Caenorhabditis elegans: one gene and its partners. The protein of the gene in region 3 interacts with the protein of the main gene of each other region in a pairwise test. Each region holds a gene or a part of one and is shown on either strand. Other genes may lie near its edges. The genes, in order: T11B7.1, C11E4.6, src-2 and tag-325.

What was found.
Region 1: the proteins of src-2 (region 3) and T11B7.1 interact in a two-hybrid assay, tested with the Caenorhabditis elegans proteins (one large-scale study listed by BioGRID).
Region 2: the proteins of src-2 (region 3) and C11E4.6 interact in a two-hybrid assay, tested with the Caenorhabditis elegans proteins (one large-scale study listed by BioGRID).
Region 4: the proteins of src-2 (region 3) and tag-325 interact in a two-hybrid assay, tested with the Caenorhabditis elegans proteins (one large-scale study listed by BioGRID).

The regions. Positions count from the first base shown.
Region 1 is NC_003282.8:8,838,975-8,843,331, reverse strand, and holds T11B7.1 (Centrosomal protein of 162 kDa), read right to left. Parts: upstream 2,616-4,357; 5' UTR 2,608-2,615; coding exon 2,541-2,607; intron 2,259-2,540; coding exon 2,051-2,258; intron 2,002-2,050; coding exon 1,579-2,001; intron 1,461-1,578; coding exon 1,140-1,460; intron 1,079-1,139; coding exon 760-1,078; 3' UTR 527-759; downstream 1-526. Other genes in the region: T28C6.11 (uncharacterized protein), read left to right, coding at 3,071-3,194, 3,449-3,669; T28C6.7 (Kinesin motor domain-containing protein), read right to left, coding at 3,160-3,192, 3,407-3,737, 3,900-4,357.
Region 2 is NC_003284.9:9,608,636-9,616,588, reverse strand, and holds the start of C11E4.6 (ANK_REP_REGION domain-containing protein), read right to left. Parts: upstream 6,027-7,953; 5' UTR 6,014-6,026; coding exon 5,889-6,013; intron 5,842-5,888; coding exon 5,502-5,841; intron 5,312-5,501; coding exon 5,081-5,311; intron 4,566-5,080; coding exon 4,217-4,565; intron 4,102-4,216; coding exon 3,787-4,101; intron 3,739-3,786; coding exon 3,427-3,738; intron 3,379-3,426; coding exon 3,250-3,378; intron 3,012-3,249; coding exon 2,491-3,011; intron 2,069-2,490; coding exon 1,898-2,068; intron 1,828-1,897; coding exon 1,605-1,827; intron 1,500-1,604; coding exon 1,369-1,499; intron 1,245-1,368; coding exon 1,099-1,244; intron 1,044-1,098; coding exon 800-1,043; intron 316-799; coding exon 181-315; intron 138-180; coding exon 1-137.
Region 3 is NC_003279.8:14,320,675-14,328,253, reverse strand, and holds the start of src-2 (Tyrosine protein-kinase src-2), read right to left. Parts: upstream 6,018-7,579; 5' UTR 5,968-6,017; coding exon 5,722-5,967; intron 5,674-5,721; coding exon 5,552-5,673; intron 4,692-5,551; coding exon 4,570-4,691; intron 3,785-4,569; coding exon 3,587-3,784; intron 2,952-3,586; coding exon 2,881-2,951; intron 1,226-2,880; coding exon 962-1,225; intron 903-961; coding exon 614-902; intron 1-613. UniProt on the Caenorhabditis elegans protein: Non-receptor tyrosine-protein kinase which may play a role in larval and pharynx development. Unlike src-1, does not play a role in embryonic development.
Region 4 is NC_003281.10:4,795,314-4,802,865, reverse strand, and holds the start of tag-325 (WW domain-containing protein tag-325), read right to left. Parts: upstream 6,028-7,552; 5' UTR 5,956-6,027; coding exon 5,860-5,955; intron 5,808-5,859; coding exon 5,659-5,807; intron 5,298-5,658; coding exon 5,123-5,297; intron 5,051-5,122; coding exon 4,632-5,050; intron 4,236-4,631; coding exon 3,761-4,235; intron 3,297-3,760; coding exon 3,081-3,296; intron 2,312-3,080; coding exon 2,202-2,311; intron 2,118-2,201; coding exon 1,939-2,117; intron 1,744-1,938; coding exon 1,617-1,743; intron 1,138-1,616; coding exon 956-1,137; intron 903-955; coding exon 649-902; intron 431-648; coding exon 290-430; 3' UTR 1-289.

The DNA of each region.
Region 1 (4,357 bases), on a different chromosome or scaffold from region 3:
TATCCGATGTTACAAAAATCAAATTGCTTTCAAAGATCTAATGAACAGAAATGTAAACTTTGGCTTGTCAAAAGTCAAAAATTTAGGGCATGTTCATCATCTTCCAGCGCCTTCGGTCAACCTAACAACATTTATGATTGTCTAAAAAATCGATAGCATGGAAAAATGACACCCTCGAGGAACATAAATAAGATAATTGTATCATTAGACGCAGAATAATCTCAAAATGATCCAGACTTTACGAACAGAATAAGAAATCTGATATACCCATCGTCTCAACAATCTTCTATCCATTCCAAGCCATGACAAATTTGAAGCGGCAACAGTGAAAAGTGGCCCACCGCTGGCTAATACGTACGGTTTTATAGCGGGCAAACTGAAGGCCGTCTTAGGTCCATTACCGGCTGTTGGACCGTCATTTGTCCACAGGTTGAGAAAGACTTTCAACCTGTTCGGGCTCGTCCGCAGCTGTTATAATTGTGACATTTTTTATACATAAGTTTGTCTTTGGTTCTTGGAAGGACTTATTGGAAGATTTTATTTCAGAAACAAGAACAGTTGGAACAGTGTAAAGTTAATCAGAATAATCAAGAAAATTTGAAAACAAAGAGAAAGTCGGATAAATGGGAAATCATGATATATCGTAGAGCGAATAACAAGAAAATCGTTGATTTGTGAATAGTTAAAATTTTTTAAAATATTAGTCATTGTAAGAAGGTACATTTAATTTCAATGAAATCTCAATTTTCTGATTCGATGCTATTCCTCTGACGAGCTGTCACCATCTGGTAAATCATCAGAAGCGCTGCTTTCAGAACTTTCATCTGATGAGCCTTCTTCCTCTTGAACTTCTTTTAAAGCTTCTAATTCTTTGAACGCATTCTTCAAATTTCCTCGAGAATTTCTGAGACGTTTTCCAAAATTTCTGACAGTCTTCGCCAAATCCTCAGAAATTTCGTTTTTCGGAATGAAATTCTTTTTCAATTCCATCATCTGCTCGTATTGATGTTCAAGCTTTAATTCTAGAGCATCCTTATCTTCAAGAGCATTTTCGTATGACCAACCAAGATTAGCGATTCTGTAATAATTTTTATGTGTTTTTAAGATCAACAAAATATAAATGTTTCGTCAAAACTTACCTTTTTTTCTGATCGTTAATTTGTCTTTGGAACCACTGAATCTCTTGATCTTTCTTATCGTGCACTTCAAGACTTTCCAAAATCAAACGACACTCCTCTTTATGCAACTGCAGCATCTTACATTCTGGTTCAAGTTTTTGATCGTCTGAAAACTTTTGAAGAATTTCAATAAGTCCCTGCAATGTTGGAGTTGGTGAACGATTCTCTGTTTTGTTTCCAGCTGTGAGCTCTCCAATTTTCGCTGTTTGATTATCAAGATAGTTTTTCAATGTATCGTTTTTTCTGAGCAGTTTCTTGTTTTCTTGAGCAGCCCTGAGCAGTCTGGAAAAAGTAATTACGAAACATAAAATGTTTGTTCTTACACTGCCAAACAGATTACTATATCTCGATGGCAGTGCATGTTATGTTTTCGGTCGACTATACAGATAAACATAGTTACCTTGATTCATAGAGCTCTTGTGTCTTCTTTATATCCATTTTAAGAATTTCAATTTCCTTAGCTTTTTTCGAATTCATTTCAAAATTTCCAACAGCTGACTGTAGTCCTTCACAAGTTAACTGAATATTTTTCAGTTTCTGATCAATACTTAGTTCTTCTTTGAATTGTTTCAACTGTTCGGTGAGCTCATCCAATGTTAGAGGATTCACATTTTTTGAATTCTCGTGATTTTGAATACTTTTCAAGTTTTGAAGTTTTTTGAATTTTTCAATTTGAACTTCAAAATCATTTTGCAAGTCAGCATAGTTGTCTTGCAAATTGGAACATTCATTCTCGAGTGTATAGATTTTTACAGAAAGTGCCTGTCTCATATCATCATACTTAAGCTTCTGACGGCTGAGTGTTGAATCTAACTTCTGGATTCTGAAACAAGTTTAATCTTACAAAAATTACGAAAAAACAGTATACTTACGTTTCCAAATGTTCATCCTGTTTTTCATTGAACTTTTTTTCCAAATCCTTGTAGTTTTTATCTTTTAATTGAATACTTTCAAGCTGTTCTTTAATCATTTGCAAATGAGGAATGGAAAAATTAATAGTTTTACTTTGTTTCTCAACTTGGACATAGCTTATGGTATCATGAAGAATATCAATTATTCCTTGAACTGTAGGCTTAGACGCTGAAATTTAATATACATTCACGAGGAAAAGTATTCAGAGGACTGCGTGACTATCGATGTTTCAGATTTTCAGACGGGATACATAAAACGCAAGTAGAAAAACCCGCATGACGTCACACTTTTTCTTTCATTCTCCGTAATTTTCCAGGAACAAATTGCGAATGGAACCTATCATACACGCGTGCGCGAGGCGATGTGACAGCTTCGATTAATTATACAAAAAAAAACGTCAGAAATAATATCATTCCTGTTATGAAACACTGTGATTTCAAAAATGTTTACCTTCCAATTGTCTTGTTTGCGGTGCTTGACTTTCTCCTTTTGAAACACTTGGTTTGATTCCTGACATTACTCTCTGAAAATCCAAAATCCTTGCACTAAAACAGATTTAAAAAAAAGAAGTTAAATGAAACCGTATTCATATCTTATAATATCATAACTACAATCATTTCCATACAATTCGTGCATTATAAACAAGAAAACAAATGAAAACCCTTCAAAAAACTCGATTAGCTACCGATATCAAGGCACTTTGGATGTAAAAAATAATAAATTAATCAGTCATCTCTTGACGATGACGTATGGGCAAGTCATCTGGATGAAAACTATAAAACAGAACGCTCATGTATATTATCGACTCGAAAAGAAGGTTTCCAAAAATTATCGATTCAATTTAGGTTTAGCAGATCTACGAATATACATTAAAAAATACTTGAGGAAAAGTTACTTAATTAGGGATCCTACAGAACTGACAGACCTAGAATAAAAGTAAAAAAGATTAAAAACGAGAAGAGGGAGGGAGAAAACACCGAATGCAAATGAATGGTATGTTGGAGATTTGTAGTGTTGGAAGAAACAGTGAACCACACTCTCCACGGGCAACGTACAGGGGTCATCTCATCTATTTGTTACGACGTCGAAGAGGCTCGCCACTCTGTAAGTAATATTGATTACTTGGTTTTGTGTATCGCATCCGATATCGGCCGAATGTACAATGAGATTTTTTTTCGAAATACCACTATTTTAGATGTCGCCATAAAAAATGTTTGAAGGTAACATAGATAACATTTTCAGAAGAATTTAAGTTTGAAAACGTGATCAATTAGGTTTTGGGCATCTGGAAATCATATGAAAAGCTAAATTTATACCTGTCGTACGACGACATCAAACGCTGATCCAGTTGATTGTAGTGGTACTGCCACGGATTCTGGCACAAACGAAGACGCGGTTGAGATTCGTGACGACGTTGACATTCTGGATGATGGGCGGGATGAGAGAGCTGGTACATTCGATGACATTGGCACTCGTGGAGAAGTTCGACGAGCCGCCGCTGAGAAGGTTTTTAGTTTCAAGTGAAGTTCTTCAATTGTCTTGGTCTGCTCGGCAATTTGATGACGATACTCCGCGATAAGACCTTCACGATCAGAAATCGTCAGATTTTGAACTCGCATATCCTGTTGAGCATTTGCAAGTTGTTGTCTGAAATAATATTAATATAAATCTATATTTAATTTTCTGATTGTGTGTTACTTTATTTTTTCGATTTTCACATGTCCGGAACATGCTATCAAATACTTTAGTTTAAAATAAAATTTCGTTCTATACACCAATTCATTTAAACGTTAAAAAGATTTAACTCACCTCAGCTTGACTAGCTCGACGTTTGATGTCTTCTGCTGTTGATCTTCTTCAGCAGGATTCTGAAGTTGTGCTTCCAGTTCTGCAATTTTTGCTGTCAGAACTTCGCATTTCTCACGATACTTGTCCATTTGAACGGCGAACTCGTCAGCGTGATCCAATAATCGAGCTTCCGAATCCTTAAGCAATCCATTCTGCTCCGAAACAATGCGAAGTTCTTCTTTTAACTGTTCCAACTCTTCCAGAGACTTCAGATCAGCCGATTCGGATGCCTCGATAAGCTGTTGCCGTAGATTAGAGACAAGATTTTGAAGTTTCACAATAGTATCATTCCTATTTGAAATCTCGATTTCCAATGCCTTCTTTACTTCTTCAATTTCATTTTCATTTTTGTTCCACGCATCATCATCATTCCATCCTGAAGCCGAATTTTCAGCCTCGACTAGCTTCTGTTTGGTATC
Region 2 (7,953 bases), on a different chromosome or scaffold from region 3:
TTTCTTTGGTTCTCAGTAGTTTGCTGACTGTTATGCCGGCATCGTACCATTGTTCCTTCGATTGGCAGAGACTTGTCCATTCTGCTTCTGAGCTCAAACATCATTCCGATTGTGGTGATGATTTCTGCGGCAATTCCCTAGAAATATGAACTTTTCTAAGGCATTATTTGTGCGAAATACCGAGGTCAGCACACAGAAAGTGTGACAAAAGAAACGATTTTCAGTGTCCCTTGCAACAAAGCAGAAGAAGTTGAGATCCTTTCTATCCTGACATACGACTCTTATTGTATAGACACCATAGCCGTCAAGTAGAGTCTAAAAAATCATTGAGATTAATCGGGGGGCAAGTTTGTCAACGCTTCGGATTTTCTAATCAAATTAATATTGCGGGTGGTCTTTTGTGGCCTACAGCTGATATCCGATTGCGGCGAATTTCCTAGACTAGTCAAAAAACGTCTCAACCTCTAACGTCTGCTGAGAAAATACAATTGATAAAATTGATAAACACAAACAAAATATGAATTCTCGGTTCGAGAAATATGATGTTCTATTTCTAAAATCCAATTTCCGAAATACCATACGATTAAAATATCTTTGTGTTTTTTTCACATCGTATAAGTATATTTCATAAGTAATCAGATTTTATGAAATACTTTCACGTCATAACTTTCCTGCAACGAATGCAGGTGTATCAGTCGTTAAATTATTGTTTCCCGACCCCCTTATTCTTTAACCGCTTCTCAGTTCTGCTGAACTTTTACAATTTGTCAATTCCATTAGGTGATAATTTAATCATTACCTTAAAAGTTTCATCGAAGATAGTGATTCCATTGCAAGTCAAATCCAAAGTAACCCGTGGAATAGTCTCCCAGTCAATTATCGACTCTTTGATTCTTGTCATAGCTGCATGAGCTTCATCAGAGCATTCGGTTTCTCCAATTTCCAGAACACCGAGGTGGTGTGCACGATACACCACGTTGCCCTGCAGCAACTTGTTCTTGATCTTGTCAAAATCGCCTTGTGGGCATTCAGCACAGTTGTTTCTGAAACTTGTTGAATGTTTGTTCTTTTGAAAATTATTTCTCATTAAAAACTTACTGTTTTGACCTTGGCGGCAGAGGAGGAGGTGACATTAATGGCTTAATCTGTAGTCGATTATTGTACTCTTTTCTTTTTTCGTCTTCTGCTTTTTTGAACGAATGGAGCATTCTAGCAATGTGACCAGGACGAGTAACACCGAGTTGCTGAAATTAAAAATATGCAACAATTATCACAGGTCTATGGATATTTTTTGATTAATAAACGCGAAATCAGTGATAAAAAGTATCTTAAAATCACAAAAGTTGTTATTTGAACAAATTTACTCACCATCAATCTTGCCGTGTCCCAGTCAATTTCTGTCAATTTTGCCATATGCTTGTATCCTGCACCGACAAAGTTGGAAATGTAATCTTGAAGTCCGATGAAGTTGAGCCATTCACTAACATAGAAGAAACGTCCTGGAATTGAAAAGTGATTTGAAAAATTGATGAAGGTTTCTTAAAATGTTCCGGCAGAGTAAATGTGTTTTATGAATGTGTTTTATGTTTCAAAAAAAAACCAACCAGCACTAGCAACATCATCCTTCAATTTCTCAATCTCTGACATTATCTTGAACTTGGTGACGTCATCTACTCCGATTTCCGTAAGGATACTTCTATTTATTATCCCTTTTAGTTGATCCATTCTATCATATCCATGAGTTTGAAGAAGTGCTCCAACTGAATCAGCCGCTACTGGGGCTAACATAACATCACTTTCCAACCACTCAATTATTGTTTTTGGTTGCTGAAACATGAACAACCGGTGTAAAACGTGACATGAATGGAAGTTGAAACAAAAATGTAACTAAAAGTACCTTTTTTACAAGAAGCGACTTGTGATCTCTGAACTCATCCTCGACAAGTGTTACGCTCAACGCTTTCGACCCACGATCACGTAAGTAAACTGCCACACGTGGCTCGTATTCACGAACAAAAACACTTTCACGACATGGAGCTGCACCAAACGAATCGAATACACTTTCCACCTGTTATACAAAAAATTAACAAAGTTTCACTGACACTTTTTTCAAATTTGAAATTATAGAATTGACATTTAAATCGTTTTTTGTTGTTTAATGCTGATAATCCAAAAACGCACAAACGTTTAGGCGCTGCCGTTATTTTTTACTGCGTTTTATTCCCGCTACCCAGCTTTGCAAATACACAAAAAAGACTGACCTATTACAGTTTTTCTGGCTCTGTATTTCAAATACACCGTAAGAATTAAGCCCGCACAGCGAGTGCAGGTTTTTATCATTAAAAAAAACTTCTGATCTGTTTTTCTTTACATTAACAATAGCTGACTATTGAGAAACTGTTGAGAAACATAAAATCCGTGTGCTTTTTGCAGATACGCCATTGTTACGAAAAAATAAACAAAAATTGGTTTGTCCCCTGATCGACTTACCCTATCCCAACTAGGTTCTTCACTGGTCGTGTCTGATTTCTGGTCTGATGAGGGGGACGACAAATTATCTGTGGGTGAAAGTGAATTCAGCATAAGGTTCGTTGTTCCATTTTGACGGCGGATTCGGACAGGCTCTTCCGGCTCAGTGAAACTGCTATTCATCTGCACCTTCGACGTTGATTCAGTGCTTCTGTGGCTCAAATTTGACGATGACGAGAATCCAGAGAAGAAATCAACATTTGTAGAGTCAACCAGCCGAGATTTTCCACATAACGCGTCAAAGATGAATGCTTTAGAGGTGTTTGGGGAAGGTGGGCTCTCGGCAGAGTTTGATGATGGTCTCATCACGTCTTCTAAAAAAATTGCAGTCACATTGTTGTCTTTCTCATAATTCCCATTTAGATGTTGATTCGCATTTCCTTGGCTGTAAATGACACTGCCTGTCACTGAACCTGTTATTTCTTCTGGCATTGCCAATGGTGCACGGCCGTTATCACGTTCGCGTTCCCGGAAGAACTTATCTGAAATTGCATTTATTTAGATTGACTTCAGGACTCCATAAGTTTAGGAAATGATTTTTTCCTTGTCATTGACCAAAGTTTTTTTTCAGAGTTAACAAGATACCGAGCATGAGATCAGTGTTGGAAGATTCGTTTTCTCATAATCTACCCGAACTTATCAACTCGTACATCATATGCTAGAAATTTTTTAGGTTGTCGTATGCCCCTAAATCATTCCATTTTTGCTTAAAATGCCTACCTTTGTCAAGTGTCGAGCACGCGTATGTCAAGGATGATGTTATGCTGCTTGCTCTGGTGTCCAGTCTTGGACTTTGCGTCAATCCCAGCGATTCTTCACGATCACACGTAGTTCGGGAAATAGAAAACTCTTAAAAGTCTTTATTTTATATTAATTAGAGTCGTTTCCTATACTTACGGTTCCGATTCAATGACCTATCCATTGTTTTGTCTGGGTCTTGAATAAAGGCGTCATTCAGGTCAGGACGACCATGATCTGGAATTCTTGGAGAGTAGGTGGCAAGTTTTGGAAGTGTTGCGTATCCGGATTGTCTACGGAGTGATGCAGATCTTGCTATTGGTGAGTTGGGGCGGACGAATATTGCAGAGTTGTTCGGAACGTTGTCATATGGTGCTGGCGGACGATTGCTAATGGTCAGTTGACTCTTTTGCCATTCATTGAATTTTGAAGGAGAGTTGTATGCACAATTATCTCCCGGGAGTACAGAAGCTGAAAATAAAGTCAATCCGTAAACTCAGAATATCGATAATAGATTACCTATTTGCTTTTCTGTTGGCCTCGTTCTAACATTTTTCAGCCTCGTTGGCAATGTATCGCTGGATCTTTGACACGAATAATGCTTTGAGTGATAACTAGGCGATGTCAACGGGAACCTTCCAGTTCTTGGAGCTCTGTCTAACATGGAACTGTTCCATGTACGATTGATAGAGTGTGTGGTGTAAGGCCCCTCTGATCGAACACTGTTCAAAGCTTCTGTAGAGTCGTCGGGGGATAAATCTCGCAGTCTTGCAGAAATAGAAGGTGGCTGGTAGATGGAATGATTGTTTCTTCGTTGATCCGGGTATACTTGAACTGAAATCGTGAATAACTTTATTTATCATTCAGATTTTGAACTTTGAGCTTAACTCGATTGATAACCGAAATGTTCCTTACAATGCACATATTATTAGTTTTAAAAATAACCCACCGCTTGCTTGACTTGGAAGTGGTTGCCAAATTGCTTCTCTTTCATTGTCACTTTGACTTCCTTCGGTTTCTCTTCCAGAGTCTCTTCTATCCATTCCTTCGATAATTGTTCTACATTCCTTCCATCCTTCCGGATTTTTTACAAAATGGGCGATTTCATTCCTTCGGTTCTCCTGGAGATCGATGATCATTTGGAGCACTGTTTGTCCGTGTTGATTTTTGATATCAGTGTTCACGCCAATTTCCAGCAGAAACCTGACTGCCTCGGCCTGTCCACAAGCAGAAGCCACATGTAGAGCTGTCCCATCTTCCGTAGTGTAGTTAATGGAGAAACCATGTTCACGAAGAGCCTGAAATTAAACATTTAGTACATTTTTCATTTAAGTGAAACAGTAAATTATTTGATTGGGTTTGTTTAACTAAAAAAATCTACAGAACATATGAGTCTTATAAACCTATGATTAAACTACAAAAATACAAATAATAAATAGTAGTGTTTCAAAATATTTACTACAGAAAATATAGTTTTTTTTGTTGGAAAACCGCAAACACCGTGACGCATAAGTGCACAGTCAAAAAAATATCTGTTGAGTGTTTATATTTCAAACTAAACGTTTTTTGGGATGAGTTATGAAAATGAAATCATAAGCATGTTACTATCGAATCTATTTCGAATTTCAAATTTGTAAACATTGTACAAACTTGCAGATTCATATGAAACACGCCTATCAGAAAATTAACCCCGTTTTTTTGCTATTCTCAAATTGCTACCAACATTCACGCAAGGAGTAAACTATTCTGCATCACCCTTACTCTTATACTCAATTCTTGAATAATGAATAGCAAAGTGGAAAAAGCAACTCACTTGCATGCACTCAACGTGATTATACTTTGCTGCAAGGTGAAATGGGTATATGGCCGGAAAGGGCCGTTTTATGTCCGGTGTTCCAACTCGAAGAGACTCATATGCTGACTGCACAGGAAACTTTGGCCATTTTTGGCACAACATTCTGATGGCTTCAGCAGATCCAATGCGTGATGCAACGTCAATCACATTTTCCTTGTTTTCATTACGAATGAAGGGGTCGGCATTTTTCTGAAATTTAAGGAAATTGAAACGATACGTGATTTTTCAAGCTAACAATTGTTAAATCTGTCAACAATTTAATCTCTATACAAGAATCAAACGTCAAACGCATTGCAAAATTGAATAACTTATTATAGATATGAATGTTGTTCCTGTTCACAGTCGAATAGTTTTAATTCTCAAAGTTATCTTTGCTTACCTTTATCAAATAGAACACAACTTCAAGATGACATCTCTGAACTGCAAGATGAAGTGGAGTTTCATTGAAAATGTTCACTGCATTCAGAATATCTGCGGGCTTTTCCATTGTTTGTAAAAGAAGCATTTTCACAATCTCCAAGTTCCCATTCCAGGCGGCCAAGTGAATTGGTAAAATATTTTTTGTACTTTTACACAGTAAAAGAAGTGGTTCGTAGTCCATAAGGAGTTTACTGATTTGATTTTGATTCTCGAGAACCGCATGATGGAGTAAGGTGAAGTCAGATTTTTCATCTTTGTAGTCGGCGAGCCAATGACTGTCTGATCGCGTTGTGAAAAATCTGAAAAATATCAATAGTTTATTTGAAAATTAGAAAATAAGTATTACTTCAGCCCGCTTCGAATCTTTTTGCCCTTTTTCGAGCTGAGAAACAACGCAACTTTATCATATTCTCCTTTTTTACAAGCATCGATTACTTCGGTTTTTGATATGACAAAGTCTTTGAGGCTCATTTCATCTGAGCTCCTGTAAAATGATCGATTCAGAATTTAATTTAGGACAAAAGAGAAAGCAGATGTTCATGTCAAAAAACAAAAAGAAAAGTAGGAAACAAAAAAGACGGATAGAATATAGGAGAAAGAACAGATTTTGTGAACACATATAGTTTTTTGTCTTAATCTTGTTTACTTTCTCTTTTTGAGATGTAGTTGTATTTTGCTACTCAAGGGGTCCACAAGAAGTAGTAATGCATAAAAAGATAGGAAATGCGAAATATGTAGAAAAAGGGAGTGTTGTAGATGAAAAGCAAGGGGGTCCCCGGGTTTCCTCCCGCGCGAAGAATGCCTCGTAATGTATTGCATTTTACTCGCTTTTCACCAAAATCTCGACAAGAGTGGTGAAAGCAGGGTGATGGGAATAGGAAGGGCGCAATGTGGATGGCCGGTCACTCACAACTCCACAAAACTACACATTCTTTTCTCCTCTTCTTCTTTGCAATTTTTGTCGGTCTAGGAGTGCATTGGATGCAACAACAACAACAAAGAATATAACTACAGCTAATACTACTAATGGTCAATGTAGGAAAAAAAAGTTTAATAGTAGCTTATGGAAAATTGAGTTCGAGTTGTAGTCATCAAGGATATTCTTAGGTGAAAAATTATAGTGAAGATTTTCCTCATATTATCAGCTCTTTGCGAGTTTACATCTAAAATGTACCACTAGAACAAGATACCTTTTATAAACTGCAATGGCTCTCACGAAAAGTTGTCGGATATGTTCTTAAAAAATGATAATTATAGTTTTAACGAATTTCGTGTCAATTCTTCAACAAAAAAACATAGCGTCCAACAATTTAACTGAATTACAAAAAATAAAAATAAAACATGATGGTGACAAAACACTTTTCCAAATTTGCCAGCTGAATTAATATGAATTCCATTTAGAAAATTATTACTTAATAGCTATAGTCAATATGGCAACATTTTTCAAGGTGATTTTAACCGATTTTTCCTAATTTAAATAATTCAGCTGTTTTACATGTTAGAATCCTTAACTTCGCTGAATAAACTTTATATTCATATGTACTATGATCAGTGATGGGTGCACATTACATTTAACTTCTGACTAAGAAAAAATTTTTTGAACAAAAACCAACTCTATGCATCTGAGAAGGTTCTCCTCGAATAATCAGATAAATTCAATTAGAACTAGTGAGCACATGCGGAGGAGGCTGTGCACTTTTCAAAATAGCCTCAAACAACAAAAACATAATAGCACAGGATACACGGTCGATGCTTAAATTGAAGTTAATAATCGTTGACTTAAACATATACGACAAAAAAGATAATGACATGCTGCAAATCGAGAGGAAAAGAAAAAGAGATAAAAGCACTTATGAAGTGCAGTAAAGGGAAGATAAAGGGTGGAAATTGAGAGGAGAAGGTGGAAGGAAGGAAGAATGATAAACCCGTGCTGTTAAGTTGTAATAAGTGTTTCCAACGTGTTGCATATGTAGGTGAATAATAAACACATATCACTTCAAACATCTAAAATTGCGTTGAGGATTTAGTTTCCAATGTGATTTAAAAAAAAAATTGATTATTTCTGCTCACTTTCTACAGAAAAATTGTCCTTATGTTAATCAAAATAAAAATTAGACAAGTAAAAATTGAAAACCACAAATGTATGAAAAATGTTATCAAAAAAACTATAGTGAGGCGGTTCAGATATGCGATTTCGTAGTTTTCCAAATATTTTATATTAAATCCCCAAGTTCGAAGTTTTAAAAACTGAGATTTTTCAAAAAACTTTTGGAACTGTTTCGTTGTTCACACCGCACATTAAAAAATCTTTGGCTTACAATTTCAACCGTACACCATATATTAAATAATATATTTATTTAAAAATATTTTTAACTTAATTAACTCCCACGAAAAGTTTTGGTTATATCATT
Region 3 (7,579 bases):
TGATCAACAAAAAATGCGGGAGTTTTTCGTTCTAAAAATCACTTTAGAACTCTGCGTCTCAACTCCGCGCATTTTTTGTAGATCTACGTAGATCAAACCGAAATGGGACACTCTGACACCACGTTCTACAGTAAAACTTAGGCTACATCGCATTTTTCAAAATTTGAATTTTCCGCGATTCCCGGAGATCAAACGGCGAAGGGCGCAGGAATATTCCACATTTTAGTTGACGCGACCTATTCCCAAAGTTTTGCGAAATTTTCAAGGCCCCTTCAATAAGGGACTTAATTTTTATAATTAGCGAACTGGTACCATTTTGTAAAAAAAATAATTTGACCTCAATAAAAGGCGGGATGTTAGTTTTCAAAAAAGCTCATATGACGTCAAAATTTTTAATTCAAATTCCCGCCACTTCTGGAGGTCATGCGGCAATGAGACCATCTTACGTTGTGTCAGGCTGTCTCATTGCGGCTTGATCTACAAAAAATGCGGGAATTTTTCTCCCAGAAAATGGTGACGTCAGCACACTCTTAACCATGCGAAATCAGTTGAAAAGTCTGCGCCTAAATTTCCGCAATTCGTGTAGATCAAACGGGTCGGTTCAAATCCTCACCTGGATAGGGTAACCGTCCGAACGTGACAATCTCGGTGAGCAGGATTCCAAAACTCCAGACATCCGACTTGGTTGTGAATCGATTATAGTTCGCCGCCTCGGGCGCCGTCCATTTTATCGGAAACCGTGCTCCGGTTCTTGCTTCGTACTCGTTCTCCTTCATCAATATCCTGGCTAACCCGAAATCTGCGATTTTTACAGATAGGGAGTTGTTGATAAGGATGTTTCGTGCTGCTAGGTCTCGATGGATGAAATTCATCTCCTCTAGGTAGGCCATTCCAGCGGCAACCTGCAAAACTTTTTTTGAAATTTTTTTTTAATTTCGAGGAATCCGAACGTGAACCTCACCTGCGCCGAGATCTCCACCAGCTGAGGCATCTGACACTGCCGACCTCGTCGCTGTAAGAATGTGAGCAGATTCTCCTGCATTAGCTCGGTGACTATAAGAATCGGCTCATCACGTGTGCAGACTGCATACAGGGACAGAAGCTTCGGATGCCGGAGCTTCTTCATAATCTGTGCCTCGGCTAGGAAATCCGTAGGATCTGCGGTTCCGGCCTTTAGCTTTTTCACAGCGACGGGGACGTTCACATTCCATCGGCCTTCCCATACCTGGAAATTGATGGTTTATGTAGTACATCCAGGATCTGCAAGCTGATTTGCAAGTGCGCTCTAATTAAAAAATGACAAATGTTCTCACTAGAGCGCACTTAAACATGCAAGCATAAGGGGGGGGGGGGCGGGGTTAGGTAAAAAGTTCAAAGTTCAAACACACACTTTAGTAAGCTGTAGTAAGAATTTTCGTATGTTTAGCCATTTTTCGCATGGTTTTGAAGCTTCATAGATTAAATTTCTTACAAAACTCATATTTTCGTTCATGCTTGCAAATTTAAGTGCGCTCTAATGAGAACATTTGTCATTCATTTTAGGGCCTTGCTATCTATATTCGAGGTTGAGTTTTTACTCATGGTGCATCGACATTTCCTTATAACCCTAGTGGTAAATCTCTATGTTCCAGATCCCTTCGTTTTATGAGATCTCCTAGCGGAACTGATGTTTGTAGGGGAGTGATATCATGTTTCAAACCGGTCCTATCTGTTTCAATATTGGCGGCTGTAGCTGCTCGGATCAGGAGATGGAAAAGTCAATAGAAAAAGGGGAAACCGTTTTATCCGGTTGTTTTAGGATCTACACTAAAAGCCCCTGGATTAAGAAAAACACGGAAAAATAAAAGCCTGAAGTTTTTTAGTCCATAGGCTGAGAGGTTTCTGGGAGTTACACTCAAAATAAAAAACTAATATTTAGGCCCCGCCTTTTTCTCGTCCGCTCACGGAGAAAAGGCAAAAATATTGACCCTAACCAATATCAGGCCGCCGACATCTCACGGGTTTCGCGCGCCGCTGCGTTTAACTTGCTGTGGGCGTGACGAGCTGTCTCCGCCCGCTGCGAGTTAAACGCAGCGACGCGCGGAACCCGTGAGATGTTGGCGGCCTGATATTGGTTGGGGTCAAAATTTTTGCCGTTTCTCCGTAAGTGGACGAGAGAAAGGCGGGGCCTAAATATTAGGTTTTCTGCAGTACACGCCACGCAGTTTTTTTTTATTTTGAGTGTAAAGTAGCGCCTACACGGATTTCTGGCTCCCCTCATAAATTGAGATGGAAGAGTTTGCCGAACAAGGCCATTTTGGATCGGCCATATCTGGGGTAGAATTACGGCGCGTTGCGTGTCGCGTCGCGGCTCGATTTTAGTTTTAAAACTTGTTGTAGTTGTCCGTGTGGAGTGCACGATTTTCCCACGCGTTGTCCAGGTCAATGGAGCGCGAAAAAATCAATAAGGAAGGCCAGAACCCCGTGCGCCTAGAAATATCAAGAAAAATTCTTGCTCATGCGATTTTTTGGGGTTTTTTTTACAAAAAAACCTAAAATTTTTCAGGCTCTACCCTAACAATTGTAATTTGGGGCTACACATGGTGCATCGGGGACCCACCCCCCCCCCCCCCCCCCTGCAATTTTCCCCTAAGATCATCTCCTTACCCCCACTCAATTAGCATATCTTCTCCTGTTTATCTCGTTCTCCATCAATTCTCTATACACACACACACACACACACACACACACACACAAATATACATCAAACACGAACGGAATAGGCAACAGGAGGAGGAGGAGGAGGATGAGCCTGTGCACACTATTTGGCGGGCTGTGGGGCTGGCGGGCAGGCAGGCAACGTGAATAAGCAAACAACCGAAAGAGAATGATGATGCTTACCTCTCCAAACTGCCCGGCTCCAATTTGTCGAATGAGACGAACCGAACGGCGGTCCACTTCCCATTGGTCATCTGGAATGGGAATTTTGAACATTTTTAAAGGTAACTGGGCGCCTTGTGGGTCCCTGGAATTGTTTGGCCTAGTAGGTAGGCACAATAATGCCTGCCTACCTTTAAGTCAACTTTGGCCTGAATTAGGTTCGCCTTTTGCCTACTGGATTTACCTAGGTTTGTAGTAGGTATCTAAGCATGTAGTAGGTATCAAGGTATGTAGTAGGTATCTAGGCAAGTAGTAGGTATCTAGGCACGTAGTAGGTATCTAGGCATTTGGTAAGAATCTAGGCATTAAGTAAGCACCTAGGTATCAGGTAGGCATCTAGACACGTAGTAGGTATCTAGACATGCAGTAGGTATCTGGGAATGTAGTAGGTTAATAGGCACGTAGTAGGCATCAAGGCATTTGGTAGGCATCTAGACATCAATAAGTTACCTAGGTATATAGTTGGTATCTAAACATGTAGTAGGCATCTAGACATCAAGCAGTTACCTAGGTATGTAGTAGGTATCTAGGCACGTAGTAGGTATCTAGGCATGTCGTAGGTATCTAGGCATGAAAAAGGTATCTAGGCATGTAGTAGGCACCGAGGTATCTAGTAGGCATCTAGGCAGATGTAGGCACCTGTCAGGCATAAAAACTTCCAGCTTACCATATGTGAATGTCGTTGTCTGTGGGGCTTCTGACTTGGCACAAGGAGCTCCCAGATTCACACAAAGACCATCGGCTTCTCGTTGGTAATGTGCAATCAGGTCGTGTAACGTGGCAAACGGGCGCCTCCGGGCGATAAAATACCCGCCGTGGTCCAGTTGACGGATACGGTAGTGCTTTACGCTGTCGTTCTCTCGGACTGCAAGAAAATTGGGATTAATAGGGGGATTTTGGACTACAAACTACAATCTTCAAATTTAAGAAAACTTGGAATTTGATGAGTTTGTTTTTTTTTTGACAGTTTTTGGAATGTTACAAAGGAAAAAAAAATACTGAAATATTATAAATTTGAAAAATTCAAAATTCCCAAAAAAACGTTTTTTGGTAACTCTCAAAAGAGCTTTGAAAGGTTTTCTACAAACTACAAACTACAAACTACAAACTACACACTACAAACTACAAACTACAAACTACAAAGCACGAAATACATATTTTTTTATAATTTTTCAGAATTGTAAAATTGAAAATAAAGATAAAAACTTTTTGTAATACTTTCAGAAAAAATGAAATCTATCAGTTTTTCAAAAAACATTTATTAAAAAATTAGAAAATTATTGGCAAAAAATTCAATAAAATTTTTTTAAAAAAATCGAAAATGATTTTTCGAATTTTTTAAAAAAAGTTTTAAAAATTAAATAAACATCTATGTATATTCCATCTATTTTTGACAGTTTCCATCTAAATTCCCCCATCCCAAATTACCCATCTAAACCCATCAAAATCTCCCAATTTGCCTCCTTTCTCCCAAATTCCCATTACTTTCGGAATCATAAAAGGTCGGGGCGAGCGGGGATAACCTCTTTTCTGCCTCTTACTGTCACCGCGCCTTTCTCATTTTGTTGTATCCGACCTTGATTATCTCTCCCAGAAAACCGGTTTTCGCCCGCCATGTGCCCTATGGGGCGCCCTTAAAAGTTCACTGACCTGATAATGATAAATCATGCTGTCGACTTTCGGAATCTCTCACTAAAAATGCTCCGTGCTCATTTAAAGTGTGCAATAGACATTTTTCCGCATCGATTCGCCGCATTTTTCCAAAGTACCACCTGGAAATTTGTAAAAATTTAGATTTTCGGATTTTTAAAATCTTATTTTTTGAATCCCTGTAACTCTGCAATAAAGCAAGCTATTAAAAAGTTGTCAACTATTAAATTGTAGCAAATTTTATGTTCTACAGTTTGCTAGTTGCCAACTTTTTGATATCAATCAATTTTAAAAAGTTATCATAGTTTTAAGGCCTACACGGATTTCTTCTAGAAATCCCTATAACTTTTTAATGGTGTTAGCTATAATATTAAAAAGTCGCCAACTAACAAAATATAGGGAATATTAAGTACTTGATTTTAGGTACTACTACCAGTGAACTACAAAATTATTCGAGTTTTAAGGTTTTAATGTGAGTTGGAATTTTTCTAAGTTTCGTAAAAATGTTATTTTTTTCAAAATTTCGTTAAAGCTATGTAACTCTACAAACATTAAGTTACTGAAAAGGTTCAAAATACGAAAATGTAGTAAATTTTACAATTAACATTTTGTCAGTTGACAACTTTTGCCGGTAAAAATACACTTAAAGAGTTGAACCATTTCTACGCCTGCTCTGATTCCCCGCTGACACCTCTAAAGTGCTATAACTCTTCACTGGTGCTAGCTATCAAAAAAGTTTAAACTAACAAAATGTAGGAAATTTTCTGCTCTACAATGTGCTAGTTGACAATTTTTTTGTATCTCACAAGCCAAAGGAGTTATGACAGTTTTAGTTACACCTGATCAAGCCCCTGTGACAACTAACAAAGAGGCGCTGGATAGCTCAGTAGGTAGTGGTAACCACCAGCAATCTGGAGGTCACAAGTTCAAGTCCGGCCTCTCTCCCTAGGCTGGCTAAAAATTCAAAAAAAAAAAAACTTACGGCTGTGACTCGATACTTTTCTCCCTGGCAACATAATTCGACGGGATATACCCAGTCCGTCCAGTTGCCTTGTGCCTGGCGAACCACCAGTCTCCTTGGGTATCATTTAGAATTTCAAGGATCTGAAAGAATGAGATATGGAGTTTCAAAAAATAAAATAAAAAACTAACATCATCCTTCTTAAAACTCAAATCATCATCTGTCCGTGCATCATATTGGAATAAAGCGACAAAATTCGCAGATTGCGAGATATTCTGATTTTTATCAATCGTATTTCCACTGGAAGACGCCGCAATCGGACCGATGGACGGAATTCGTGGATGACTTGGCAGTGACTCCCTTCCCAACGTGGATGACGTGTGGACTGGTGACGTTGCACCAGGCGGTGGATCCTCTTTTCCAATACAGGATCCCATGGGGAGGAACGGACGATCCTGGTGTCGTCAGTTTTTTGATTTGGGAGGTTCTGGAAGAAATTTAGATAGTTCTGGTTCATTAGGGTTCGCTGGACAAAATATAGCGTTTTAAAATTGTCAATTAGCAAATTGTAGATCAAAAAAATTAAATTTACTACAACTTGTGAGTTGACAACATTTTGATAGACACTAGCACCAATTAAAGTTATAGTTATAGGGGTTTCCAGGAGCCAGGGCAAAATAGGTGTGGGCGTTAAACTGCCATGAATCGTTTAAATATATATATATATATATATGCCAATTTGTTTTTTGATATGCCAATTTGTTTTTTGATATGCCAATTTATTTTTTGATATGCCAATCTATTTTTTGGTATGTCAATCTATTTTTTGATATATATATATCAAAAAGTGGTCAACTAAAAAATTGTAGATTTCAAAGCTTACTTCGTTTTATCAGTTAAAAACTTTCTGACTACTTGACACGCTGGGGAGCTACAGGGTTTATAAATCCAGAAAATTCATTTTTAGCGAAACTTTAGGTGGGAATTTGGAAAAATGCAGCGATAAATGTCTGCTGCACAATTTAAAGGAGCCTGGAGCATTTCTTTGTAAGCGATTAAAAAAAAGGGCCCAAGAAAACTTGCAAAAATTTTTAAGATGATCAGTCAAGTAAAAATAATTTTGGACTAGTTTCAAAAAAGAAATAACACAAAACTTGTGAACCAATAAAATACTTAATGCGAAATTTTCTTATATTTCTTCGTTATGGGGTTTCAGGGGCAAGCTAGGACTAACTAGCTGTATTAAATCGACTATAACACCTTCAGATTAATAAATATAAAAAAGTTGTCAACTAACAATACATTACGCATAAAATTTGCTACATTTTTTTAGTTGACAACTTTTTGACATCTAGCCCCAATAAAGAGTTGTATGGATTTCTAGGAGCCATAAAAATAACTTTCTGGACTACTACTATATCTATTTTATCCTGAAAAATATGAAAAGTTGTCAGCTAATAAAAATCAAAAAATTTGACCGTAAAATTGGCACTAAATTATAATATATGAGTTACAACTTTTTCAATATATCAATCTTCTAGAGTAGAAAATTCAGTTTTTAAAGTAAAATTTCAAGCTAAAAGGTTACAATAAAGCAGGAAAGGAACTCATAGTATTAATCGAGAACTATTATAATTTCAGTGCCTAGAATTTAAACTGAAATTTCTCTCGAATAAAGTGAGCAACAAAATTTAGGGATCAAAGTTTTTTAGGCTAACAATATTCCGACAAGGTGTCAGAGTGTCCCATAACGGTGTGATCTACAAAAAATGCGCCAACTGTTGTCGCACGGTTAAGAACGTGTTGACGTCACAATTTTCTGGGCCAAAATTCCCAGTTCCAGGAGTTTTTCAGCCAAAGCTAAAAAATCTTTTAAAAAAGGCCTAAAAACTATGTTCCAAAGTAGTAGTATAATCTAAAATTGGGGGACCTAAAAGGAAAACTACATTTTCTATCTTTGGCGAAAATTGTATAATAAGAACTATGAAAATACAAAATATTAGGTAAAAAACCCAAAAGCCGGAAAGAAATTCATTTAGCCGGTTGCTG
Region 4 (7,552 bases), on a different chromosome or scaffold from region 3:
TTGAAAATACAACATAAAAAAAGAATAAAGCGTAAAAGGAGAAGACTGTAATAAGTAAACGGATGAAAAAAAAAGACTAGCATACTGAAAATGTGTTGAGGAAAATGAATATTACAGTACATATTTACAACATTAATTGATCAAATCCCGAAAGTCAAGGAAAAAAAAGTAGAAAGAAAATAAGAGAAAACGATAAAAGTAATACCCATTTTTCGGCGATAAAACACCCAAAGTGAAACGGTGAGAAATAAGGTCACAACTCTTTTGGAAAATTTGAAAAATCTATAGATTATCGTCCAATATTGACTGGAGCTTTGAGAATATCAAATTTGTTGGCCGATTCGAGAAGATATTGAACAATTTGGGATTGCATAATCATTGAGAAGGCGAGATGAGAATTCGATTGGACAGGAGTTGCTTGAGTTTCTTCCTGGAAATTATAAGTATTTTAAACAAGGAATATCAGTTGGTTTTTGAGTTTTGACTCAATTTTCAATAACTTAAATTACAAATAATTTGGTGAATATAGAAAATGAACGGTAATGACCAATTATAACTGTAAAAAATTTCAAAATTTGTTTAATGATATGTTATATCAATTTTTTAAAGATTTTTCACTCCATTCTCAATAAATGAAGTTTTACAAACCTTTTTCGAAGGTTTCGCCTTCTTTCCAGCTTTCTTATTTTTGGTTGCCAAATTCACGGCTCCATCACCATTATGGAATAGTGTTGGACCAAAAACAATAGCAAGATTATGTTGTTGCATTCGATTTTGTGATGAATGCGAGGCTACACGATTCAAATGACGAAGTAACATTTTCAATGTTTCACGATTCTCGTTTGGAAGTCGACTTAGAAGTTCTTCGAATTTTTTGAAACGAGTGGTCGCGTTGGGCATTTCTGGAATAGAAAATTGGTTTAGGACATTTTAAAACTTCAAAAAAAAAACTTACGCATAGCTGATGTGTATTCCTTATGAAGAGAAATTGGGAAAAGTGGATCGGTTAGCTCTCGGAAAAAGAGTTTAAGAGCACCAGTAAGAACATGAATATCTTCTTCAGACACAAGAGCTTTATAATTGTCTTGATCAGCTTGACATCGAATTTTTTGGACTGCGGACAGGTTTCCACTCACTCTGAAATAAGAAATTTCAAGTTTCAATGCTATTTTTATTTGGTAGTCATCCTTTAAAAAACTGAAAATACAGTTAGAGAATACTCTCGTAACAGTTCAAATTTTTTAAAGATATTCCAAAACTATAATTTTTAAAGTGTGCCTTTAAAAAATACAGTAATTTTGATGTTGATTTTTCATAATTTTTTTGAATACAAATAAATAAATTTTAATCGAAAAACCGCAGCAACTGTGAGTTGGAAATTACAGTACTTTTTAAAGGCACACAATCATTTAAATTTTAAAAAATCGTGTCGAGACCGGGAAAAGTTTTTTCAACGCAAACAGTTCGCATCTGGGTAATGTTTTTCGGAAAAAATTATTAGGTCTACCCCTTTTGATAGTAAATAAATTTTTAGATGTGTTTTGTTATGGCATTTGGTCATTTTTTCACAAAATGGCGACACTTCATGTAATTTTTTTCCAATTTCATAAACTAACCGATAAATTCCATCTGTCTCCAATCCTTTACTCTCAATAACTTCAGTGATAACTCTAATAAACTTCGGTACCAACGAGTTTTCATGTTGACAGATTGCAGAAAGAGTTGATCCGAATACTGGTTCAGCTGAAATGATTCTTATTTCAATATCAATTTACTATATATAAAGCGCGTGTCGTTCCGTCACTATGTAGTTTGATTTTTGACAGAGCAACGGAAATTTGGGAAACCTTATGATAATTGTATTTTCTCAAAAAAAAAAGTCGGGGGCCGCGCCGTAGGTGCGGTCCACGGCTGGTTTGCATATATTTCCAATCTTACGTTTATATATTCCCTTCTCTTTAAGACTTTCCACTGTAGGGCGTGTTCGGAAGAATCTTCTCAACTTCTCAATGATCGTCTCTTTTGATGGTCTTGGTTCATCAGTTGATACACTTGTCGATACCGTTTCAATTGCAGATTGTGACATTGGATCATCACGTCGTCGCATACTTCGGCTTCTTAAAAAACAAAACATTTTCAATAAGACATGGTTCTCTCAGAATTTTGAATTCAATTTTTTTTTTTTTGAAAAAAAAACTCACATTGGAATTAATGCATGGGAAAGTGGACGCGTGCTGCCAATGTATGACGGATTACGAGCAACGCCATTTGTTACATCAATCATCGGTTGGTTTGAAGAGCCAGGAGACGGCTGAAACGATATACATAGTCTTGAAATCTATAATCGGATGCAAAAAACAGTATACGGTCTCGACGCGATCGAATAGGTTTAAATGAAAAAAGTTGTGCGCCTTTAAGAAGTACAATAGTCCATTTTTCTCGTTTTTCTCAAAAAACCTTTTATTGTGTGAAATTGTATGCACAATTAAAAAAAAAAAGATAAGTCGAAGAAAATTGAAAAACAGCAAGATTTATTTAATTTTCCTAGATAGATTTTTTATAATTTCAATATTTTTTGATTAGTGTCACAAAAAAAAAAGGAAAAAAAGGTTTTAGACGAAAAGGCAGGAAAATGGTAAAATAGCGGGACTACTGTAATTATCAAAGGCGCACACACTGTTTCATTTCAGCATTTTCGGTCGTGTTGAGACCGGGTTAGATATTTTTCAAGCGAAAATCCAGCTTAATAGGATTTTCAGAATTTTCTCCCATGAATCACCTCACTATTTGACCGTTGCAGGCTCAACATTCGGACTCTGGAGCAAGCAGTATGCCACATGGTACTTTTTTGAGAATACACAACAAGTAAAAACTTTGCAATAATAGACGGAGAAAAACTTCGGCCGTGAATTCTTATTTCTACAGTCTTGAGAAAGTTGGAAACAACTTGGCAAAGTAGCTTATAGCCGAATAATCTCTTAATTGTACCTGCCAAGGGCGGGAGAAAAAGAAAAATGAAACAAAAACACTTGATTTTTTTTGTCTATTTTCTGGATAATTTTCAAATAAAGAAATCTTACAAGCTTTGCGACAACTTCTTCCAGTGACTTGTACCATTCGACGGCTTCCGTGTCATTGGGACCTCGTAACAGGTATTTCTTCGTGTTACACAGCTCTAATTGAATATATTTCCGTTGTTTCTTCTTTTGTACATCCCGATTGTCTTGATACCATGTCACACTTGCTCCTCGTAAATCCCATACTCCTTGTGGAGCATCATAATGTTTTCCGTGTTTCTGAAAGTTGACAACTATTTGGTATTGGTTGATCTACTGACAAGGAAAGGAAATAAATATATACAAAATATGGCACTTCAATTTGAAACATTATGTTTAGGCTGAGCTGATATATATGTATATAAATATTTAAGCTGCAAAAACTCCACTCGAACCATCTGAACTTTATCAACAAACTTTTCAACTACTTTTATGATCAGTCGAGTTGTTCCAAAAGTGGATTTTTGCAAACTTCGGATCATTTTTAAGCTGTTTAGAGATAAGCAAACATTTCGGAAGCTTTTTGAAATTTTTAGTTTCTGAAGAAGAGTGCAATTTTTTGACCGAGGTGGATGAAACATTTTCAGATCATTTTCAGAAAAACTTCCAAAAAGCAGACAATAATACATCATCTCTGCACATTTTGTTAAAATTTCTTAAATCTTTTTTTCTGCGTTAATTATCAACAACATAAAAAAAACTACCTCTGCACTTTTTTGGTCTTTATACAAAATGAGATGAGCCGTTGTTAAATACATGTAGTTCGTGATCCATTCACGTTTTTTTGGCTTTACAACTTTCTCTGCTGGTTCATCATTTTCACTTCTTTCCAAATCACCGCATCGAATCGTTCGAACAGGTTCACGTCCATCACCACTACCTCGACGTTCTTCACATCGTGATGATGGTGTAAAATCGGCAGAATCTTCCATAAGGATCGGCCGATCCGGCGTATTAGAGTGATATTGCGGATGGTGATCGAAACTTGATGAGGTTGTCGGCAGCACTTGTGGCATTGGAACATTTTTTAGAACTGTACATTTGTTCTGAAATGAGACCGATCTTAGGTTCGTCGGAGATGGACGACGGACACGGATTGCGGTGGGAGTTTTTGATGTTTCATTGGCATCTGGGGGAATCACATACGAAGCCAATTTGTCAGTGTCTTCATTTTTGGCCCTAAAAATGTAACTTTAGTGATAGGATATAACATTATTGAATTTAGGGGTAGCGTCGATGGGAATTTCACTCAAAAATACTCAGGTTGATCTCAAATGCCGATAACTTTTTTTGCATCTGTAGTTCTCAATACTGCCGCAAGTTCTTCATTTTCCTTGAATTTTCAAGTGAAAAGGAAGGTTTTATGCCTATAATGGCAGTTACGTTTCGCCTAAAATATTATTTTTGTCTGAACCAGTCGAGAAAATCGAAGTGAAAAACGGAAAAATTAGCGGAGTTTCGAGGCGCGGTAATTCAAATGAGGCACAACTGAAAATTCACTAAAGTTAGCCATGTTTCAAACTTAATGATTTTTTTTTCGTTTTGCTCCACTATTACAAATTTTGTAAAACCAACCTTGGAAACGTTGATTGAAACGAAGAAACATGTGCATAGGGATGTGGCATCATTACTCCGGATGCTGTAGAAGCTTTTCTTGATGATGTTGGAACAGGTTCTTCGTCAAAATCGGAATCTGAAGCTATGGATCCTTCTATAGGTTTCACATCATCTTCATCTTCATCATCCGTAAAACTGTCAGAGAATGGAATTGGAAGAGGCCGTGATTGAAGATCAATTACAGGTGATGATTGTTCATCCACGTCATCGCAAACTTCATCAAACACTTCTTCATCTTCTATCAATTGACTTTTTCTGTCGTCATCAGCTAAAGATTCACGCATTTTGTTCTCTTTTTGTTCTTCTGATGAAGATGTCGAGGATCCTTGAAAACTGCATGTAGTATCTAGATTCGTTCTTGTTGCACGAAGAAATTCCTGAAAATTGAAAACTGAATGAAATTATAACATCTTACCAGATTTTAATTTTTTAAAAGTAAAAAATAATACCTGAACTTGTGCGGGTGTTCTGATAAACCTCGGTGGAATCCATTGACTTTTTCCAGTTTCTTTATTGAAGAAAAATGTCCGTCCGACGTCGGTCTCGTATTCAAACCAACCATTTAGAAGATCTCTACGGGGCTGCGCGTCGGCTCGCGGAGTCGGTGGAACCGGTCGGCTGAAGCTTTTAAAAATGTTTTATGATGATTTTAGAATCAAAAATGAAAATTAAATAATCATCAGTGATTAAAAAAATGCTCCAGGTGTTGTTCCAACATTTTTTCATAAATATTAGTGAGAAAATATGGAAAAATAATAGATATAATTGAAAATAAGAATTCAATTTGACGAAAGAATTTGAAAAAGTGCTTAAACATAGTCTGAAATTGTCATTTACCAATTATCGAACTTAATTTTTCAGAGATTGGCAAGTTTCAAACCATTTTTGACCTCTTTTTCAAATGCTTCACCCACGATTTGCACACTAATTCCAATTTTTCAAAACATTATAACTAAACCTGAATCATTTCAGATATTTCCCGTACCTGTTTAATTCTTCGATTTCTCTGATATTTGTATACACATGTGATGGATCGTCAGCGTAATTCTGTCCATTACTTTCACGTGGCAATGTGTTCGCGGCGCTAACATTCGTTTGACTAGATGACGAAGAGGATTCGGCCGATTCGGACATCTGTAATGAATAAAATTATTTTTCTCGCGTTCGATGAGAGAGAAAAACTAACAATTTCTTGGAACTGAATAAGATCCGAAGCTCTTGATCCAGCGGGTCCTCCGCCGAATCCAGTTGTATCTGACGGCTGAACAGCGGTGGTCATCATCCGACGAACAAAATCGATAATAAATCACTTTTAACACCACCGGAGAGGCATTGAAGAGAATGATAACGAACTGCAAAAAGGACGAATTGCTAAAATATTCGGAGAGGGAGAGCATGGTAAGGAGAGGAAAAGAAGAGAAAGATCATGTGACCATTGACTTTGTTTTTACAGTGTTTATAGAACAAAACCGAAATATTTAATAAAGCAGATTGATCCGGAAATGGGAAAACAAAAATTATAATTAGGTTGTTAAGATAATTAAATAATGTTCGAAAAGAGAAGAAGACAACAATTAAGTATTCTAAATATCTAAGAAACTTGATACATTTCTTTCCACTTGAATCGATTCTCTCGAATTTCCGTGACTTTCTGAACATTTCGTAACTTTATACCCATAAGAATATCTTACGAAATATTTTTAAAATGAAACATATTTTAATCAACCAACGGAATTGATAAGCAAAATTTCCGATTTTTTGTTTCATTTCAGCTGTCCAATTTCAAAATTAGCTGAAATTATTTATAAATCAGTTTTAATTTAAAATTTTGTACAATTCCAACAGAAAAGCACCAAAAAAACCATCACAAGGAGGCACACACGGGATGACTCATCCGGCCGTCGTATTTCCCTTGTCCCGACTGGAGAAAAGAGAACACAGAATGGAAGAGTAAGATACGCAGACAGTGATACAGAAAAAACTCGCCGTGTGTTCTCTCACTCATTCGGGAGGTTAGAGACAGTGTCTTGGGGCTAAATATTGGAGATACAGACACACGAACAGACGACAATCGATTTAAAGAAATACAGTCATTGTACAAACCTGATAGTGCCGTGACTAGAGGTATTTACTGGTTTAGCTAGTGAAAAGGCTCTTTTTAGACTTCAAAAATTTGTTTTAATAAATAGTTTCATTATTTCAACATATTTTACTAAATAATGTGCCAAATTGAAAAACTATTCACTAGACAGCATAGAAATATAATATTCTCTTAAAAATCAATATTGGAGAACATTTTTGGATAAGAATTCTTTTACCCTTAAGGGTCAATCTTATATAGCGCGTCGTTATCCAGAGCACTTTTTGTCTCTATGTTTTACACCGTTCGTTGATGTTATCTCATCTTCAAAACGAATTTCCTGCAGTTTCTTAGTCTCTATAGTGCCACGTTTTGCGTGCGCGTAGAATAATAAATTCATGTTTTATGGGTCTGTCTGTGTGCACAAGCCGACCGCCCCAGTTTTCCCCCATATTCGAACATCGTTTGATGCCAATCTTGACATGGCAGAGAAATAGGAAACTGAATGCATTGGGGAAGAGAAAAAGAGAAACTGCATTTCGCTTTCAATTATTTGAGTGGCCCGTCGGAAGAGCTCTCACAGCTACTCTACAATTTTGCATCTAAAGGGGTCACGCTATTTAAGCTAACAAATATTTTTTCATGTTTCAGAACACATTTTTCTTAATTATGCGAAACAAGAATAGAATGCACCGGAAAAAAAATTTATAGTAAAATTCGTGAATGACTCGCATCCAAAATATAAAAAAAACAATGTTACTATTAAAACTAATTAAAAAATAATTTTACAAAAACACAT